Styela clava: one gene and its partner. The protein of the gene in region 1 purifies or fractionates together with the protein of each later gene. This does not show direct contact. Links are inferred from orthologs where the notes say so. Each region holds a gene or a part of one and is shown in the gene's direction. Other genes may lie near its edges.

Evidence for each region.
Region 2: the proteins of serine/threonine-protein kinase Nek1-like (region 1) and cilia- and flagella-associated protein 410-like purify together in Homo sapiens (affinity purification with mass spectrometry; 3 studies listed by BioGRID and IntAct, with this or other methods). This does not show direct contact. The link is inferred for Styela clava from reciprocal best matches to the Homo sapiens genes NEK1 and CFAP410.

The regions. Positions count from the first base shown.
Region 1 is NC_135263.1:14,764,512-14,774,790, forward strand, and holds the start of serine/threonine-protein kinase Nek1-like, read left to right. Parts: upstream 1-5,367; 5' UTR 5,368-5,788; coding exon 5,789-5,887; intron 5,888-5,982; coding exon 5,983-6,097; intron 6,098-7,187; coding exon 7,188-7,369; intron 7,370-7,921; coding exon 7,922-8,018; intron 8,019-8,733; coding exon 8,734-8,890; intron 8,891-9,446; coding exon 9,447-9,688; intron 9,689-10,011; coding exon 10,012-10,184; intron 10,185-10,279. UniProt on the Homo sapiens protein: Phosphorylates serines and threonines, but also appears to possess tyrosine kinase activity. Involved in DNA damage checkpoint control and for proper DNA damage repair.
Region 2 is NC_135252.1:14,883,554-14,894,963, forward strand, and holds cilia- and flagella-associated protein 410-like, read left to right. Parts: upstream 1-6,034; 5' UTR 6,035-6,478; coding exon 6,479-6,558; intron 6,559-6,749; coding exon 6,750-6,768; intron 6,769-7,105; coding exon 7,106-7,152; intron 7,153-7,425; coding exon 7,426-7,551; intron 7,552-7,749; coding exon 7,750-7,856; intron 7,857-7,967; coding exon 7,968-8,135; intron 8,136-8,199; coding exon 8,200-8,293; intron 8,294-8,739; coding exon 8,740-8,980; intron 8,981-9,121; coding exon 9,122-9,184; 3' UTR 9,185-9,557; coding exon of another isoform or gene 9,558-9,590; 3' UTR 9,591-9,622; downstream 9,623-11,410. Other genes in the region: uncharacterized protein LOC120342376, read right to left, coding at 1,874-2,287, 2,716-2,900, 3,182-3,266, 3,501-3,590, 3,747-3,874, 3,998-4,106, 4,181-4,321, 4,647-4,736; ATP-dependent DNA helicase DDX11-like, read right to left, coding at 9,558-9,590, 9,690-9,825, 11,350-11,410. UniProt on the Homo sapiens protein: Plays a role in cilia formation and/or maintenance. Plays a role in the regulation of cell morphology and cytoskeletal organization. Involved in DNA damage repair.

The DNA.
Region 1 (10,279 bases):
TAAAATGAAATATCTTTTCCACACAATTAGCAACATACGTGGCGTGTGAATGTATTGCCCAACGTTTTCGACCCACAAATTCTAATAATAGCCACTGTTTTGTCTTCTGTAAAATGTTCTATTTCGCACAAAAATCACAGTACTATAAATGAAAAACCATTATCTGGTAATTAAGAATAATATTTCATAAAACTAAATTAGAAATTGAAAGTAGTAGCGTTACTAATCGCCATCAACATGATTGTCTTGCCTCATAACTCTTTGTCCACTTTCATCAAAATTTAATTATAAGAGTAACTGAAATAGATTGATAGATTATTATCCAATGCTTTGATTTTCCTCTGTTTATGGCTCAGTTCCTTACAATTATTGTATTGTTGTAGTAATGAAGAGCAACTCAAAAAATTGGTTCCAGTACTTAGAAGAATTGTTTATTAATAGCAGGGGTGTGCAACCTGTGACCTGCGGGCCAAATGCGGCTCTCAATAAAAAATTGTGCGGCCTGAGGAGAATTACAATTTTGAAATAATGTGCGGCCCAGGAAAAGAGTTTTTAATTTAATTTGGTACATGATAGTGACTCAAATGTCTTTGTGTTGTGAAGCGAAGCCTATACCTGAGTCCAATATGCTATCTATGCCTTAACAGCTAAAGCATGTCATAAGATCAATATCCAAAATTTTTGTGCCTGCAATTATTAGGTAGTGCATGTTATTAAATAAAGGTGCAGCCCACAGTTTCACCCTGTTATTTCTATATAGCCCTTCTGTATTGAAGGTTGCACATCCCTGACTTGTAGTATATGTTCAGTGACTTGGTGATATGTTTATGCTTGTAAATGTGATAAAAACTTTACACCACTTGTTTCAAGAAGATAAATTGAGTGAAGAGAATTTATTTTGATCTGCTGTGTGCTGTCTCAGCAGCTAGAGAATTATTACATATAATCTATAACAAAACTAGCTGTGTTTGTGCCCTCTTCAAAACTTGTTGTGAGGAGGTCCTGGGTGCATTTTTAATTGCAATATCCAATGCCAGAGGACATAAGGTAGTTTCTGGGATATTCATGCCTATATGGAGACCTTCATGTGTGTATTTTTATAACAATCTATTATGTTTTGCCATTTTGAATCATTGCTCAATATCGGTTTTATTAATATGTGCAATAACTAAATTTTAGTTTTGTTGTCTTTACTGCAATGGTGAATACTTAGATCTAGACTAGATAACCTGCTTCTTGCCTGTTTTGTTTGTCTTTTTAAAAGGGTAGGCGTAGTTTTGTTTTCAGTAAATTTTGATGCTGAATGATAACATTGATTTCATTAAATGTTTGGAATAAAATTTGTGATTTAGGGGTTAGTGAATGAACTGAACATAAGTGGCGTCTGCAATTCTTATGGCATTGATGAAAATATTTTACAGATCTATGTTTTGTATGCATCAATGTTTGACTGTTCAAAAAATTTGTTAAAAGATTGTATTTATTATTTTTTTTTTTTTTTATCACGTAGAGAATTCTATTGAAGCGCATATGAAGAATTATGAAGGTTGTTTTAAATAATTCTATTTGAGTAGTGTGGGCTATTTGGTATTGCTTATTCCTGTGGTATAATTTTAGTAGATTCTTCATTTCAGCATAGTGTATTCATTCATATTGTGTTATACCCTTCATGTGATGTTGGTAGATTTGCATACTTGTTTTTAGAAAGATTGTCTATCTCTGCGGCTTATTATTCTTGCACTGTAGACATGTAATTTGTTGTATTGAGTAAAGTATTATATGGTGTTTGTTTTTTGATTTCGATTTGAATGCTTAGTAAATGTCAATCTCTAGACTTCGTTTTTTTCTTTTGTGATCGGGGCTACAGGTTTAGTTTAATCAAGATGCGTATGTGTGCGGTCCTGTTGCTATAATATGTCCAGCCTCAGCAGCTTAGTTTGGCAAAGTGCAGGGGTGTTTGCTTATTATTCATAGGCAATTCCTTTTTTAATGTTAAGTTTTACATTCATCATTTAGTTGGTCAGAGCATTTCTGCAGCACGATAAACAAATGATTAGTTGTGTGATACACTGTCCTTCCCTCACAAAGTTGCTTGGATGAAATTGAATAAAAAGTTAACAGACTTGTTTCCGGAGACTAGACTTCTCTGTATTTGCTTGGCAGTGTGGCGCATAATGATGAGCGTCAGGGAATAGACTTGCCAGCACACCTCTAATTACCCTGGGGATAACCATGTGCGAGAGGATTGCTAGACTCCTCGCCGTCGCAGAGTGGTTCACTAACGGCATCCTCAAGCATGAAAACAAATAACTACCTGACATCCTAACTAATCCCATACCCGATATTAGACTGGTAATCGGACTCGAGAACATGGTTCGGCATATGATTAAGCTGTCCTATCGGCTTCCGTCTGACGCGGGAATTTCGATATACTTTTTACTACTATAATTCAATCGTACAAAATTTTCGGTCTTTTTTTTTTAATTATTAATTTTGAATTAGATCAAGATTATTAATCATTTTTTAGAATTTTGAATATCATGGTTTTAATTACCACCATTTGAAAAAGTCATATTGTCTATACGAATTATAAAATTTCATACATTTTTTTATTTTTTATTATTAATAAAAACATCACTTTTTATCCACATAAACACATAAAAATAACACATAAAAATTTCATACATTCTATTGATTTCTATTACTGGAGTGCATTGAAGCGTAAAGTCTGTGGTTTCGTGCGATCAAATTCTTGAAAAATATTATTCGGAACTAGGTTTGTCATTGTCATGACGAAGCGACGCTTTCTGGAGTTCTGCATTCTTATAAGTGAATGCCTCTTGTATATAAGACATTTTTGTGGCTATTTTTTGATTAATGCAAGCAGGAAGGTTATTTTGTTACGAATTGACCCAAACTACTTCAAGTACCATTTTGTGGTTAAAAACTATAGGCCTACTTAGTTATCAAAATTCTACCATGTCCAATGTCATAGAGGTCGTCACCAATGTCTGAATGTCAACTGAAAATAGGGGTCTCGTGTAGTTTCGTACCTAACGTACTTCTAGTGGGCGTAGCATGACAATATTTTAATCCTAACCCCCATCTGACTACGCCATCCAAAAATTACCGTAAAACCGGCTAACTTCGGATGATTTCACTATATTTTGAACAATATCTCCGCCGCATGTTGTTCAACTGAAGCCAAATTTGGAATATAATACATTGTGGCTATTCTCGTCTTGATAAAGTCGGTTCCATACCCATCAAAGCCTTTTTTCATTGAAATTATTGTCTTTATTCGTCTATTCTAAAATTATCTAACTTCGGATGGCCACTTTTCTCTTTGCGTCAACTCGTCGTGAGAGAGAAATGTCTGCGTAAGCAATGACGCGTGACAACGTCGCTGAATAGACCTTACGCCGCCACGACCCGTCTTGCGTGTTGCATACTGACGTTTGTACGTGACGTTACTCTTGCCGCTTCGCGAAGCTTAACTATTTATTCTTGTGTCCTTTATTATAACTCGTATATATTCACTAACTACTCCTAATTTATTGCAAAATGCTAGTTCGTTCTTTTATGATCGTTTATTTTCAATGCAAGAAAAGGATTAACAAAAAAAAAAAAACGGAAGAATTGAAAGTACCTAACACTGGTGTAGGTTGAAATTGAAATGCAATATGGAACAAGTAGAGAATGAACAAAAATTAGACAATTAAAAATAAACGGATGAATCGAATGAAACACTGGCAAAAGTAAAAATTGAAATCAAAAAGCAATATGGAACAAGTAAGGTATGAACAAAAATTCGACAGTTAAAAATAAACAAATGAATTGAAGGAAACGTTGGCAAAATCAAGAATTGTAATCATTTCCACATGGGTTAGACGGGTCTTTGCAACAGTTCTTGTGGAACCAATGTGTTTCGCTGCAGCTTTCGCAACCGACATCCCTGCTCTAACATCAGCCATAGCCTTTTGCAAGTCCTCGCTATTGCAGGAGTTGTAAGTTCGCTTTGGCATCGTATTGATAGATCAGATTTAATGTGTTCACAGGTAGATAGATAAAGTCAAATGACAATAAACGGATAAAAACGGCAAAAAGAAACTTCGCCACTTTTTTTCATTTTGCGCCTCACCTGTATGTGGTCCAACCTCCTGCTGTGTGCATCTATGTAGAGTTCTACGCTCACCTGTTAAAGATATTATTATCATCTGCCGAGCGTAAACAGACATATCTAATCATTATGATCGTATAGATACATGTTTCAGGCCTAACGTATTACCAATTGCTACGGTATCTATCGGTGTCGGAGGAAGTATGCAAAAACAAAAATCGACAAATTTCACATGCATTAAGCGTATGCATACCCATATTTTTAAATAAACAACATATGACTGAGACGATAGTGATGTTTTTGTAGGATTTAGTGACTAGGATCATGGATAAGCATAATTTTTAAATTTCACAAAACTGGGCGCCGCGATGTCTGGCGTTCAAATGTCTCAGCGAGTAACGCACGAGCTACGCAAAGTGACGTCGGCTACGAAGAGAGAGAAAGGGATTTGCGTCGTAGACGTCACGCTGTACGTAATCATCAAAACGTCGATATTTTGATGTAATTTTTAAATCAAAATAATCGATTTCACTCGAATCTCGTACGACACCCTGTGATCACTGTATTTTTTTGTATACATTGTGTACGCTCTCTAGCGCTTGGCGGTGATTTGACGAAGGTAGCGTCTGTAGAAGTCACGATTTGAGCCGCTCGAAAAAACGGTGTCATATTTTTGGTAAAATATGATTTTTTGAATGATATAAAATCAAATCGAGCGATTGGAGGCTACGGCAGATTCAGATATGTAAGGCCTTACTATAGAAACCGACAGAAGCGCAATACGACAAAATTTAGTTGAGATATGAATGATTGAAAATTTCATCCGAAGTTACAAGGCATCCGAAGTTAGCCGGTTTTACGGTACCTCACTACGACATCACAATCACGTCATAGAGCTTGCCAAATACGGTATACGAACAATCGCCCGAAATGGCATTGGCGCCGACGATAAAGAACTGACTGACAATATCGATCTCTCTCCTATTGGAATCGTTGCGACGAGAAAACGAGAGAAATAACTGCAGAACTGTTCGATTTCGGGTGCTTGCGCGTCTTGGATGGCAGTTCGTATAGTTTGAAGGGCTCTATTACGTCACTGTGACGACGTGTTGACGTAATTTTTGGATGGTGTAGTCAGGTGGGGGTTAGGATTGATTTGTGAATAAATTGTCATGCTACGCCCACTAGAAGTATGTTAGGTACGAAACTACATAAGACCCGAAAATAGATTGGTGTTTCTCGGACGGTCGACTCTGGAATTTTTGGATACGAAATGGGCCTATGGATAATTTTTTTATTATGTTGTTGTTGCTTTTCTTATTGTTGTCTAAGGGATTCGTTTTTCACTTTGAATTTTTGTATGACTGTATCTTGCAGTCTTGTGATGGCGTCCACGAGTGAACATGGTCGCATCTCAACAATCTGGTGGTCAGACTTCCAATACTGTAAAAGATGTTAAAATTATTGGAATTCCGTACCCCCATTCGACAGTACATTATTACTGGATTAGGAATAAATAGGTACTGAATTAAGCGACTAGATCAAGTCAACAATATTCCAGTATTCTGCTAGACTTTTCAGCTTGGTATTGTAACAGGTTAAAACGAGTGGCTTAAACAGGAAAGTGAGACGGTTATCTAAAACCTTAAAAGCTACTAGGAAATCATAATGGATAAATATGTGAGGGTGAAGAAAATTGGAGAAGGATCATTTGGAAAAGCCGTTCTCGTGAAAAGCAAAGAAGATGGCCTACAATACGTGGTTAAAGTGTGTGACAATTTTTATAATAATCTAACTATTTTGTTTGAGCATGTTTCAAAAATTCTAAATGTTGAAATGCTAAAATTTTACACGTTCTACAGGAAATTTCAATTTCAAAAATGCAAATGAAAGAAAGACAAGAAGCCCGAAAAGAAGTCGGTGTATTGTCAAAGATGCGACATCCAAATATTGTGCAATATGTGGAATCGTTTGAAGGTGAAGCTTGTCTACTCTTTAATATTATGCCCTTAAATGGTTCGATGTCTGAATTTGTCATGTTTCAGTGTTCATGTGTCAGCACAGTTCTACAATTCCAACAATAGCCCCATAAATTTCACTGTCGCAATCGAGAGTTTTTAGCCAAAAACGAAACTTTGGTCACATGACGACCTTAAATAATTTAAATGTTGGAACATCTTCGAATCAGAGAACTGTGCCCTACTGTGTGTGGTTTCAAATTCAAATTTCAAAGTTATCCTTTTTGTTAGGAATGGGATCTGTGCATAAAATTGAATACTACTTCATGACTGTATTCAAAAGATATCAATTATGTACAGAAAAGTTACCAATAGAATTTGTGCGCATATGAGTACAGTATAGCTTTTGGCAGAATTTGTTGGTTTGTATATAATATGAATTGTTTTTTTAATTACACTAGAACCGTATTATAGAAATATAAATAATATTTTTTTGCATTGGCAACACCTTTTTTTTATTATTCATCTTCAATTCCCTTGTAACTCAATATAATATCTTCATCTTGTAAGACTATAAGATTAGCTCATTTTCTTTCAACAATATCTATACATTATATGTATATAGTTATACCCTGTGATAGAGATGGCAGTTCATAGTGCTTGGCATTTACTTTAAAGTTTGCATTGTCAAGTAAACAGTGAATTATCAAATACATAACATAGATTTATTCGAATGAACTCATTTGATTCATTGAAGGGTGAACAAACAACAGAACTACTTTTGCATTTGAAATAGTTTACTTCCCCTAACAATGAGAATTTTGGCTGGATTATGACTTATTGCTGCCCTTAGCGAAGTCTTTTGGACATTTTCAGGATAAATATTGGTTGGGAAAAAATATCTATGAATTTTGTCTTCTTTGCTTTGAAATCGTTGAGATCAAAATCGATCTTATACCAGGAATTTGCTTTTTTTTTTATAATAGGCTATATTATTCTTTTATGTGGTCAGTTGCTACATTTGCAGTGTCTTGCATTGAGTCAAGGTGTGAGAATACTTGATAAAAAATTGCCTATTTTTTGATAAACCTTACGTTCAATTTTTCCAGAGAGTGGATGTCTTTACATTGTGATGGAGTATTGTGAGGGAGGTGATCTGTATGCAAGAATTAATTCACAACGTGGGATGGCGTTCTCGGAAACTAAAGTTTTGGAATGGTTTGTGCAGATGTGCCTTGCATTAAAACATGTTCATGATCGAAAAATTCTACACAGAGATATTAAAACTTCTGTAAGTTCGAGCTCTGTATGTTACAATGTGATCGAGAATTACTTGATATTTGTTATTCTGACAAACTCTTAAAAGTTCTGTAACTTCGAGCTCTGTATGTTACAATGTGATGAAGAATTACTTGATATAGTCAATTTGATACACCTTGTAGCTATTGCTATGATATACATAATTCTCTCCATCTGGATTTGAATCGACGCAGAGTAATTAGAGGTGCGGCGACGAGCGTATTCCCATTGTTTCGCATGATTGTCTTTTAAAAATAACTACTCTGACCTTGACTACCGACCTTGTGTTGAAAAAATTTTTGGCTCTGACTCGAGCTCTAAATTCTGATGAAACCAAATTTTGACTACAAATACTGTGGGTGTATTCATGCTTCCTGTTAATTCTATATCAACAATGCTTTAAACCTAATTAATGTGTTTAGGTTTTTGTTGAACCGTTTTTTATGTCCATTAGAAAATTAAAATACTAACTTCAAGGAATGCTAACCCTGGGTGAGGTGGTGGGTATAGGGTTAATTACACATTTTTATTTTATTTTTTTCAGAATATATTTCTCACAAAAAGTGGAGCAATTAAGCTTGGTGATTTTGGAATTGCCAGAGTTTTAAACAATACACTTGAACTCGCGAGAACATGCATTGGTAAAATTGGTATTTTTTATATTATTTGAAATGAAGCATTACAATAATAGCATTTAAAATTTTATCTAAATATTAAGTTTTTTGTTATCCATAGGCCATCCATTTCAGGCATCCCTAGGTAAGATTTTGTTTGAAATTGTGTTTTTTCACAAGGAATTTCAACACACAATGCTTATTTTAAATATTAAGAAAACGCTTACTTAAACAACAATAATTATTTAAATATGTACATATTAAAGATTAAACATGATAAAGACAAAATATAAAATATTTCTGTGTGCAATGAGATCATGAAAAATTGCGCATCTTGTGGCGGTTCTACTTTTGCGTTAGTTTTGAAGATTGCCATACCTATAATCTACTGTAACAAATTGCTACCCGTAATACTTCGTTTTGGACATTGTCCATATATTTTATTTGAATCATTCACTGTATTTCAAAAATCCAACTACATCAATATCGTTTCGGACATTGTCCATATATTTTATTTGAATCATTCACTGTATTTCAAAAATCCAACTATATCAATATCGTTTTGGACATTGTCCATATATTTTATTTGAATCATTCACTGTATTTCAAAAATCCAACTATATCAATATGCTATATCAAATACAATTAATGTCAAATGTATTCGTATGACCGATTAATTTTAGACATCCCTGATCATGCATGTATGAATCATTATGAAAGTGCTGAATAATTTTCGCTTCAGGAACACCTTACTATCTGAGTCCTGAAATTTGCGAAAACAAACCTTATAATAACAAGAGTGATGTTTGGGCATTGGGATGTGTTTTGTATGAAGTTCTCACATTAAAACATGCATTTGAAGCTGGAAATATGAAGAATCTTGTACTGAAAATTATCAGGTAACCATACTGTACATATGGTTTTAATTCATGCACCTCTGAAATCATAGTTTGAGTATGTTGCCAAATTAGGTAATAATTATGAAATAAATAGCTGTGTGATAAAAAAATCACCAGTTTGACATTATTGTCTGATTTTTGACCATCACAAATTATGGGTTTGCAATATTTCCCCTGATCCTGATTGAACTGCTTCAATGCTTGCGGCATTTGGTGCCAAGTAATTAAACCATCATTAATATATTAAGTTTCAGTATCTCTTGGCATTTCAGTAATTACCCAGTGTTCACTCAGAGATGAGTGTTCCTTCTAAGTGAGTTTGAATGAGCAAATTCTCCCAAACATGAAAAAAAATCCCATAGGGCCTAACGTTTATGCGATACATATTGATATACAATTCATTTTATTATGTATATACATTTAATGTAGCAATATTAATCGAATTCAAATAAATTGAATTTTTGATAACAAAATTTTTTAACGCAAAATAATAACTATCAAAGCTTAGTCTCTATCTCCTATTTTTACCATTCAATGTCCAACACTTTTTTCCCAGGGGATCTTATCCTCCAGTTCCGCCTCGGTATTCATATGATCTTCGGGGTTTAGTCAGTCAACTGTTTCGACGAAATCCTCGAGATCGACCATCTGTAAATACAATATTACGGCAACCATTTATTAAGAAACATACAGTAAAATTTCTGACACCTGAACAACACGAGGATGAATTCAGTCACACAGTTCTTCATAAGAATAGAAAGCCAAATCCGAGGCCAATATCTGCTCCAGTAGCTGCACGTGAGTGGATTTATAGAATTTCAGAATATTTTGAAATGAATAATATCTTCTTCTCAGTGATTCTTGAACACAGGACAAAGTTGATATCAGAATTATTCATACATTTATCTTTGCATATTTGCTTGATTTAGTGGAACTCTTAAAATAACCATAAAAATTAAAATTTTGTAAAGGTAAAGTATAGGAAAATTTTTTCTGGGGTCAAGGGGTCGGGGGTCGTTCACCACACCTTGTCTCTGTATCTTGAATTTAGGCGATATAACAACTATCTTAAATGAGTAAAGTAGAAATCTACCTCTCACAGTATTCTTCTTTGTACAAAGGTAAAAAACCTGATGATAAACCTAAAGGTGTGAAAAGTCCTGTTGATGCTCGAGCAAAACAAATAGCAGGAATATATGGACCATCTGTTGCAGCACCCAGACCAAGCAGTGCTGCTGTCAGATATAGAAGACTCGCTGAACAGAAAAAGAAAAGTGAATATGAAATGGAAAAGGTTATACTTTATATATTGTTTGCTCAAAGCATGATCTCAAAAAATAGATTGAGATGATTAGAGAGGGTGAATTTAATTGATTTCAAGTCGATATT
Region 2 (11,410 bases), on another chromosome or scaffold:
GAACTTTGAGCGATACCAGGATAAGATTAGCGAAATTGCTTCGGAACCATTGTGACATACGAGGCTAAAATTATAGTGTCAAGCATCACGCTGCGGTTAACCGGGTAATTTTACCCGGTTAAAGTGTTTTACTTTTAAAAAAAAGTAGAAATCGAATGATCACGATTAGATAGCAAAATTAAAGATAAAAAACATTGAAGAATAACTGCGTGTTTTTCTTTTCTCAATCCCTGAATAAAAGAGAAAACCCGCATCCAACGAAAGAAGCCAAAATATAACATTAAAATGCCATCGTTATTACAAGCTACCCAAAGCCTGTCTCAGACAATTCTCGTTTAGTTATTTCAGCTCTTTGTGAACCGATTTTGATAAAGTGTTATTCGTATTAAGCTCTTCGTATCCTAATTACTTATCGATCTTAAGATCGGTAAGTATGTTGATAGGTGTTTGTCTGTTAGATACACGCGATATCTCACGAAAGCGAATCCGCTCCAAATTTTGCATATGCATTCATCACATCTCGGATCAGAAGCATATTGATTTTGGATGAATTATGCCGTATAATTAGCGAGTTATTAATTAGTGATGGGACACAAGGTGCCACTATGGAGTAAGAGCGCTGTTTTGGGGATCCCCTAACTTTCGATCGATAAGTGTTCGTCTCTGACCGATATTCTCGTTTTGAATTTATTACGTCTCTTTCCAACTAGAGTCAATAAGCTATCTATCTTTTTCGATATCTAAGACAAAATGAATGACCGTAATTATTAATTAATCGTCTATTTTCGATGATGATTTATTATGACCTTGTGATACTATGATTTAGTGTTCCGCGGAATAAAAAAATGTTGAAAACCACTGGTTTAGATTGATTTAAGGTTAAGCGTTAATGAATAAAGAGGATTCCGAAAATAAGCGTCAAAATAAATACTTGATTTATTATTAGGAAATTCTATCCGCAAAGAACCTGCAAGATTCTCGTCGCAACATGTTTCTATTTGTGGACTTCAAGTACTGCATATCTAGTGATTGTGTACAACCTATTTCGTTTCACGCGCGTATGCAAAGCGTGGTTATGTGTCTGCATTATATCGGACTAAGTGGCAAATAAGATTTTATGAATGTTAATGAAAATTACTACATGATTAAGAATTGCAACCTGTGTAACTCCGGAACTGATGATTTTTAGAAAATTATAGATGTGAGTAATGGCAGGACACTCATTCAAAGAATCAGAACATTCCTGCAATTTCAAAAGGTGATCAAAGGTGTTAAGTTTCCAGAAGCAAAGACGAAGATTTAGAAAGGTTTGTTAAAACATATACAAAATGGGGGAAGTCCTGGGAATAGCCATAAAATATTTGTGGCGATAGCAGAGAAATTTCTCCTCGTTTTTACCCAAACATGCTGCAGAATTCCCAGCGGGGGTGTAATTTCAGTAACACGGGAGGTATTGAGGGTATATCTACACAGTATATCTTGAATGAAGGCTAACAGGTCCCAATCACCTTTCGTTTAATTGCAGAACTCGACTGCCACCGATGCGAACTACAGTCCAAAAACTGTTGTGTCATTCCTGCCTGTGGAGTGGCAGTGCTGCCAACTTAATTTCTCAAACACAACAATAAGCATTTATCTATATTTAATGACCACCATACAAATTTGCTCAAAATCTCTAATTTTGACCAGACGCCTATTGAACTCGCACAAAAACATACTATCAACCAATTTATATTGGGCCAATTTATTCATATTAGCCATTAGGGTGCATTAGCATTATTCTCAGGTATCACCTATGATTCCAAACGTTTGTTTCCATTCTCAAGTCAGTGACCATTGAAAGCAAAAAAGGATTACCATAACAGTAAAGGAATTACATGGTTTTATTTAAGGAATTAGCACCTGTTTTGATTTTAGGCTTTTTTGCACTTCTTGGTAACTTTTTCCTAATCTGGCGTGTTGGTGTCTCAACAGACTTCATGATTTTTTTCCCAGATTTCTCACTTTTTAGAGAGTCATCGCCATCCTCTTTTGAATTTAAAGCATTTTTCAGTTCTTCAATTTTCAACAATCTTTTCTGCTTTGCAGAAAGTGGCGTGTTATCTACAGATTCCTTCGATGTTTCAATAACTGAATTATCTTCATTAGCAAGCTCCGTTCGCTTTCTTTTACTTGTACTAGAAACACCAACAGACTTTAGTTTTATATTTGACTTCGTTGGAGGACTTTTGAAAGTCACTTCTGGATCTTCCAGGTCAACAACCATAACACCAAATTCCTCATCATCCTAAAGTAAAAATTCATGAGGAAACTAGAATGGTATGTTATCATAAATCATACACGAATAAGTAAACATGATTGATTATAATATCAGCCAATGCTTAATGAGCATCATGTAACTTGCAACATCGAGATAATTGGGTCTACAGTGACTTTCAAGTAACTATTCATTCCCATATCAGACATGGACTGTTGACTAGAGGCTGTAGAATAGACGATGAAGTTGTCCCATTGACCTATGACATACAAGTCGTATCTTGTTCAACTATAGAATTTCAATTATCATTATCCTCATTTGAAACCTGAAAGCTAAATAAGATATTCAGATATTGAAAAAAGCCAAAACTGATAATGTACATATTTATAAATCGATACTTTTTGACCTATGAAACCATGATTCTGCACAATATTAACAACTCAAGTTAATCAGCATACTTTGGTCATTGAACTTTTTGTATCAGTAGACTGCACTTTAGGTCCATTCTCCAGTGATGTATCACTAGTTTTATTATCATTTGATTCTTCCTTCTTTTTTATATTAGTTCCCAATTTCTTTGTATTTGAGCGTTTGCCATCAAAATCTTCACCATCAGAATACCGATACTCCATTCCAATGGAATCTGAATTTTGGAAAAAAAATCATTTTTACTGCAAGTTTCGAAAATATGAAATTGGGATATTAATATTTAGATGAGGAAATATGTTGTTAAATGCCAGTTGACGCTAGCATTGAAGCAGTTTGAGCCGACATGATAAAGAAGCAGCTCTGTAGGTAATGGATGAAGCGTTGAGTTGAGCGTATGCCTTCTCAATTTATACCCTACAAAGCTAGAGTATCCTTGCTTTAACTATAATAATAGACAAAACACTCAGCATACAATCATTTTAATATATATGGTACCTGGAATAGGCTCATAAACATCTGCTAATTCTTCAGGAGAAGCACGGGTTCTTTCAGGGGAAACAAATGAGTCGTTTACTTTAATCTGTAGATAAAATACAAACAAGTTGAAATAATATCTATTGATAATGAAAATAAGACCTTTACCATTACATGATCTGATGTAATATAAACCATGTTGAAGAAATCTATAATTTTAAAAAGTTATCCACAATACGGAACTACAATACACAAATACAAGCTGAGTAAAAGAAATCTGATTGTAGTTTGAGGACAAGGTATTTTAGCAAGTATCATAAAAATGGCATTGTTGTCCTACATTCATAACATCATAGTCTATATCCATCTCACGAAGCTTTTTGTTTAATAGTCCTCTTCTTTTTCGTAGCCTTTTTAATTTTAACTGGATCTGTAAAAAAAACAGTGAGGAATTACAATGTCAACGAAACTAAAAATCAATGTGGACCTGTCAAAGTCCAATTCATTGCAAATCTCGAAGCAGTTTTCTGCAATTTAATACCATGCATTTTATTTTGGCAAAGATGACTATTAAGTTTGATCAAACCTTTTCAGGATCAGTTACATCTTGATTGTGTCTCTTGATATCTTTTGTTCTACTTTGAGGTACACGCTTAATAAGCCTCCAGTTACTGAATGTGTTTGGTTTCACTTCTTCCAAAGGAATAAGTCTGCCTGCAATTTTTACCAAAATATGATTTTCACACAATTTTAAGCATGGTTACCAAAATCAGTGAAATAGAGATATACCGGTACTAAAGATAATGCAAAATTGATAATACTATAAAGTATACTTACATTTTAATATTTTTTGGAACATTAAATAGTTATTCATTGTTTTAGCTGCAATTTTTGCAACTTCTTCAAATTGAAATTCAATGAAAGCAAACTGTCTTGACTTCCCAGTCTGAAACAAACAGTGATAAAAAATAACTTCCTGGAACAGATGAAAATAAATATACAAAATAGTTGACGACCAACCTTTTTGCTCCGAATCAATTTTAACCTTGTAACTCTTCCAAATTGAGAAAAATATTCATACATTTGTGGTTCATAAAACCCAAGTGGAATATGACTGAGAAGAACAACTCCCCGTTGATTCCCTTTTGCTTCTAATTTTTCCTTCAAAGAGAAAATTGTTAATGATATTAATATTGTATTAGAGTGTAACAGACCTGAATTTTGATGGAAATATGGTTGTCAACATTGTGAAGATAAGTTGTCAACACAATGAGACTCCAATTATTGCTGTGATTTTGATTTGATTGATGAGTTCATTGAGGCAACAATTAAATAGTTAACCACATTATTTTAATTTAATCTAAACATATTCATAAGTTTAATCCATGATTTATTTCGAATTGGATGTTCAAAACCCATTTTACATGTATAAATCACCTTCTACACACACAGTCATGATGATCATATTATAAGCGTTGTTACTTACTCTTCTTGCCCGAATCTTGTCTTTGAATTCTTCATTTCTCTTTTTTTCAAGTGTGAGTTCTTCTGGCGTTCTTTGAGTTTTCTTCCCCATTTTACAGATTACAGGTCTAGCATATAAATTATTGAACTGAAGACATCAAGAAATTCTATGATATTGAATTAGAATAAAATAATGTTTGGTGAAATCTTCACATTTATACACACAGCCATGCGTTACTGCATTAAGTCAAAGGTTAGGTTATTAATAACTACGACAGGATTTAAATATTTATCCTGGGGAGAGGAAAGCTGATAAGACCACTTAACCACACTGCCATATGGCGAACCACTGCCTCTCATCCGGTTACCATTTCATGTCGGGTATGGAATTAGTTAGTTAATCTATTTGTTTTCGAAAGCATGGACTTGATGAAGGAAGCCGTAACCGACCTGCGGTTACATAAACCACTCTACGGCGGCGAGGAATCCAGCAATCCTTTCGCACTTAACCATCCCTGCGTGGGATTCGAACCTGCTAACCCACGCAGAAAATTCAGAGGTGCGGTGGCGAGCGTTTTCCTAACGCTCAGCACGGTGGGCTACACCACCACACAGAAGTACCGGTACCGTAAGATGGTGGGGAAGTTAAAAGAAATTGATTTGAATGAAACTTTAATCTGTTAATTAGTCACATCGCCGACCAGCGTACGGTACCTTGGTATTTCCTCGTTCAGTCGTTGAATAAGATGACGGTTGCTTACTGACAAAAGTTACGGTACCACTACTCAGACTACTAGAAATGCAGACAATCTGAAATTTGAATTTACCACACAGTCTGACAGTAGCCAAATGCAATATCCAGAGTACGGTACCAGAGGTAAGGTACGGTACCAGAGTGAGCTAAAAAAGGGTTTGGTATGGTAACTAATTACCGACGCCGTACTTGTACGGTCCCATAATTTATATGTCTATGCATACTATGGCAATTACATAAAGCTTAGCTTCAGGACAACCGTAATGGATCTAATCCAAGCGTTCAAAACTAATTGAAATAGGCTACACGTCTTCAGTGCGCAAGGCGAAGCTCGCTGAACGATGGCAGTTCCTCTGGACCCACAATAACCACACGCGTACATTTGCTCAATAGTGCCTCCGTGTGGAAATATACCTTCAGGATGCTTTCCGAGTTCCGACCACAGAAAAATTGATCCTATATTTGCAAAGTTGTTGGTGCTTATTATAATAGTGTTTTTGGAAGTTGGCGCTTAAAAACTAGCAAAAATTTTAAACCCAGTCCCAACCACTGTTTGCATAAAAAAAATACAGGGCGCGGTGTCAAAGGTCAAGTCAAACATTGGGGATTTTGTATTTATATTTACCAGTAGCCAGGCAGCCAAGGACCAAGGTACGCTGGTCGGCGATGTAGCCTTGTATAGTGACCTGTGACTAATTTCAACTATGGAAAATACAATCAATTGACTGTAATGAAATGTTTTGTTATTTATGTATACTTGGTCATTGTTATTCATTTATTATTTTATGTTTTTTATTTATTGCATACCGGTACCGGGTACCGTAATCCACATTGTGGAATCATAATTCCCGGTGAACCCGGTGCCGCTAGTAGCCTATGATCTGGTGGAGTTAACGATACCGGGATTTGGTATAATAAATAGGCAACTTTTTATTGTTTTTTATTCAGTTCATTACTAACTTTGATAAATAGGCCTACCGGTATCACCAATATCAGAATATTTTTTTTCCAAAATACCTGAGGAAAATTGGAAGAAATACAATCAATAACAAGGTTGCTTCACAATCTTTTTAATAAGAAGATTACTTTATGACAAAGATATGGTAAAACTCACAGAAAAGCTAGTGCTGGCACGAGCAAGATCTAAAAGCTTGGGTGCTGTAAAGAACCTAAACTGTTGGTAAGAATCTGTATAGGCCCCTAGTCATTCATTAATTTTGTAAACTGGATGCTGAATATACTGGATAGAATAGCAATGTTTCAAATTTCTATAGCCTTAGATACTACTGTACCAGTACTAATAAAAACAAGTTTTAACTCATTGCACAAATCAAAAGTGATTTATAGCTAAATTGATGTTATCTTTTTCAGGGGCAGTGCTCTTTCAGATGTAAGTATTTTATGATACCTAGTAAGGTGTATAAAATAAATCATTATTATCACTCTCGAAATATTTCACATTTATACCAGTGTAAAATAGTCTTGATTAGTTCCATTTGACTTGAATTATCTTCGGAATCTTTTATAGTGAGAGTTACTTAGTGGAATTATACATAAAATTGTTAGATGTTATCGATTCTTGAAGAATTTTGTAGATTTTACTGAACTCGTCTAAACTGACTTTTCCAAGCATGCTTTGCTTTATTTACTTCTATCCATATGGAACCTTGAGTGTCTTTTTATATTGGAGTTTATAGCTATACTGTCTCATTATTAATGTTTTGTAGATTACAATTGTTCGAAAAATGCACAACATTGAAGTGATAAACGCCAGGTTAGTTACATTTCTCGTAAATTTTTGTGCTTATATCGCATACCGGTATTTATTTTTTCTGCAGATATTTTACAATCCGAAAAATTTCATTGGATTGATTCATTTTGATGGATTCATTGGATCTCATGATTTCCATTTCATTGGAAGTTGGCGCTTATTTTCAAGCATGGTTACAAACTTATCTCAATTATTTACTTTTAAAAATTTCCTGTTATTAATGTGTAACAATTTAAGTATCTTATAGTGGATTGAAATTCTTTTTTTTATTTTTAGTGCAAACAACATTGAAAGCCTTCAAGCTTTATCGCATTGCTGCAATTTGAAAGAACTCTATTTAAGGAAAAATAATTTAAAGAATTTGAATGAAGTTCTCCATTTGAAAGAGCTAACAGAATTAAGGTATCTTTATTGAATATTAGTTGTATGTAACCTTCTCAATTATACATATACTAATAAATAGGATTATATATGTAATAGAATATGTTAAAAGAAACAATAATGATAATTGTATGTTTTATTTACTTATTGGGCACAAAGAGGATCCATGTATGAATATATATAGTACTAAGCTTACCTTAAGTTAGCCTTTTTTTTTAGGATTCTTTGGCTTTCGGACAACCCATTTTGTGATGACATCAGTAATACAAAATACAGACTAACAGTTTTAAAAGTGCTGCCAATGCTTGCTAAGCTGGACAATGTAGGTGAGGACACATTATTAATTCTTGTCAGAGGTTGATTTTTATATACAGTTAAAAACAACCCCTGTCTGCTTACCAGTTCTAGAATTTAAATCCAGTCACTTTTCTTTGCAGTTGTCACTGCTGAAGAGGTAGAAAAAGCAAAAAAGGAAGGTGATGAATTGACGGAACCAGAAAGCATCCCAGAAGAAACAAATGAATCAAAAGATAAAGCTATTCCTGTAAATTGTTACCTCGTAAATAATATTGACAATCAAGAAAATACAGAATCTGATAAACAAGGTAAGTTATTGTTATGCAAGAGAATCTAATGTTACAAACAGTTCTCGCCATGACATGTTTTTAGAAAAAGAATCAGAAGAATCTAGACTTTCACCATCTGAAAATCAGTATTCCGGCTACAACAAAGAAAATAATCACTGTCCAGTGGATGAAACAAAGTTAGTATAATAAGGAAAACTTAGTCTGCTTTCCATACCAGAGCGTAATAGGAGTATTGTATCAAATAGTAATGCGCTATGATAGTTGAGGTGGAACATAGGATGAGATGCTGGTTGAAGATATTCATGCCTTTTACTCTAAACAAGTCCAGTAAAAGCAGTCACTCATAATATACTATGACATTCAATGAGCTACAATTTTTGCATGACCGAAATTTTCCGGTTTGAACCTAGGATGCCAACACAATTTAAAGTCCAACCCACCCACAAAAGTTGTAACAAAATTTTGTTTTTGCCGGTTATTAATTAAATTATACGAGATTTAGTTCGTGTGAAAAATCTTTTTTGGATATTAGAAAGTTGATAAATATTTCCTAGTCGAAAAAACTTGATACACAGCCGATAACATATACTGACTACTTGAATGAACGCTTAATTAATGACAGTGAACTGAGAAAACAGTTGGGATTGAGACCATTACCACAACAACAAGAGATTGTTACAAGTAAATCAACAGCTCGAAATACACAAAGAGAAACATTAGGACAGAGTACAGCTAGTATCAACATTCTCTCTGCCACATTGTCATTGGTAAAAGAACTGGATGAAGAAAGCTTACGAACATTGCAAGATGCTATCCAAGACAGATTGCACAGTATTCACAGAGAAGAAAATATGAGTCATGAGGTAATGAAGGCTTTTTTATTGACTATGATAGTCTAGAATTCTGTGCCCTTGCTGGGCAAAAGAAGTTGAAACAGCTCTCTAATCAACATGATTTTAAAGTAGTTGTATGGGACAACACCAAAAGTCAATTTTTTTGTTCAGGAAAACCATGAAGATATGACACAAGGGGTGAATACATCACATGAAACCATGCTTGCAGATTGAAATAATCAATTGCGATCTACGGACATGCTCTATATTGGAAAAACTGCTTGTTCAGGCAGGCAAGGAGATCATGACAACCTCACTGTAGCTTATAGGTGTATTCATATATATTTTTATATTGTTCCGTCTGTCTCACTGTGCAAAAATATTTGCGTTCCTACGATACTTGCTGCTTTCGAAATGCAGTAGTCACTTAATATCTGCTCTGTAAATATAATTGGTGTAGACTGGAACTGTTATTGAACACAACATAGCTATCATGATAAATAAGCATATCTATTTTAAATTGGGGGATGTACTGTTGAATGTTGAAAATGGAATGTAATTTGTGATTACGATACTTTTTAGCATTCTTATCAATTGCGCTATCATTTCATCTGCTTGCAGTCTTCTTGTCCATGAAAAACTGCAAAAGAATAAACACTTTCATCATCACGAGAGACTTCGATTGATTGTAATAAAAGGGTTGTATGAATGCAGTATACATAAATTGCTGGAAATATACCTTTCGAACAGCACCGAATGCAATTCCAAATCTGTCAGCAACTTGTAGTTTGTCAGAAATCCATGATGGTAGTTCGGATTTGATGTTCATTTTTGCATAACGATGATCGGCAAGTACAATGCAGGCATGGTCATTTCTAAAACAAAAGTTTTCAGTGCTATACTGTCTGCATTAAAGATTCTCTAGGTGTGGATATATTCCTTTTTGTGAAAGAGGAAGCTTTGGCAGAACCCTATATTGCCTTGTTTTAACGCCTTGTTTCAACATAAGAAGATAAATCTTGATTATAAATTTTATCATGCCAATATAATCATGCACAGTAGTGCTTTGATCCAAATCAGGGTGACCGCGGCCGGGTATGACTCAAACTGTGTTGAAACGGCCGGACAAATATTTTTGTCAATGCAATACAATAAATTCACAAAAGTTTGGAATTCAATTCATCCAACAATAAAATTTATCTTTTTTGAAGACTTGAATATTAAATTCTATCTCTATCGCAGAATATATAAGTATAATAAGTATATTTTGATTTTCCCGCAAAAAAATCGTACACAAAACATAAACAATGAACACACAGAAGAAACTGGAAAATTCTTTATGAAGGTTTAATAGATCGAGAACATCCTAGTAAAACAAATATACAAAATTTCTATATCTATTCAACTATCCTGAGTTTGGCTGTTTGCAAACATTGCTGTCATGAATTAGGAATGTTAAAAAATCCACTTTTTCGGGCCAAAAATATGTACACATCATGTCTGCTATGTACCGTTACGCCGCGTTGGAATACCGCTCATGTAAACGACCATGGACTGCCTGCGGTACCTTGGAATTCCATGAAATTTTAACATAATTTAGATAAAATAAACAACTATTATCTGGTACTTTTATGAAGTTCAGCGTTTATTTGCGACAATAAAATCCTGAAATAGTCTCAATAATCCATAGATGTGACGCAGATCAAAAGATTAGAGATTGATATGTGGTCTTTTTCCATATTTATCACAGTTATCATCCAAAAAGTAATACAATCCTTATGAAAAAAATTGGCATGTCGGGCAGTACTAAAATTCCAATATCTTCGTTGTTTCTAGACCGTTTTTTATAAACTTGTCTTCTTATTTTCACTCAGATCTATCACATCACTGGCGCAGTTTTTATTTAAATCGGATGAACTTCATATTGTTTGTAACATACCCACATAAATATCCGCATTTAGGCAGTACAAAAGTGAGTGTGACTTGTGAAATTGCAGCATTACGCGATCACAGTACTGTTAGCGCAACATGCACATTCGACGTTCATTTCAAAAACAGTTTCGTCGAAAGCACGCGCCACAAGTATACGAGTGCATCATTCGCGGAAAACGTTTCACACCAGTAGATAATTTTAGTCTTTTTGTCACTGCTATTTCTAGACTTATTTTTCATTACTACTATTAATACTACAACTCTTAAGGAGGCAAATGATGATTGACTTATTTGATCCATACTTATATTTTCCAAACACAACCCAAAACTAACGAATAGCATTCAAAATCGCAAAAACGAAGTACTAGTTACAATCAAGACTGAAAATCTGATCGGGCCCGCTGGCCGTAGTTTGGTGACCCCTAATCCAAATGATACATAAAGAGTGACTGATACTAAAGTTGTACCTATGGCGAATGGCTCTTCCAATGGATTGATTAACAGCTTTCATACACAAATTCTCATAAT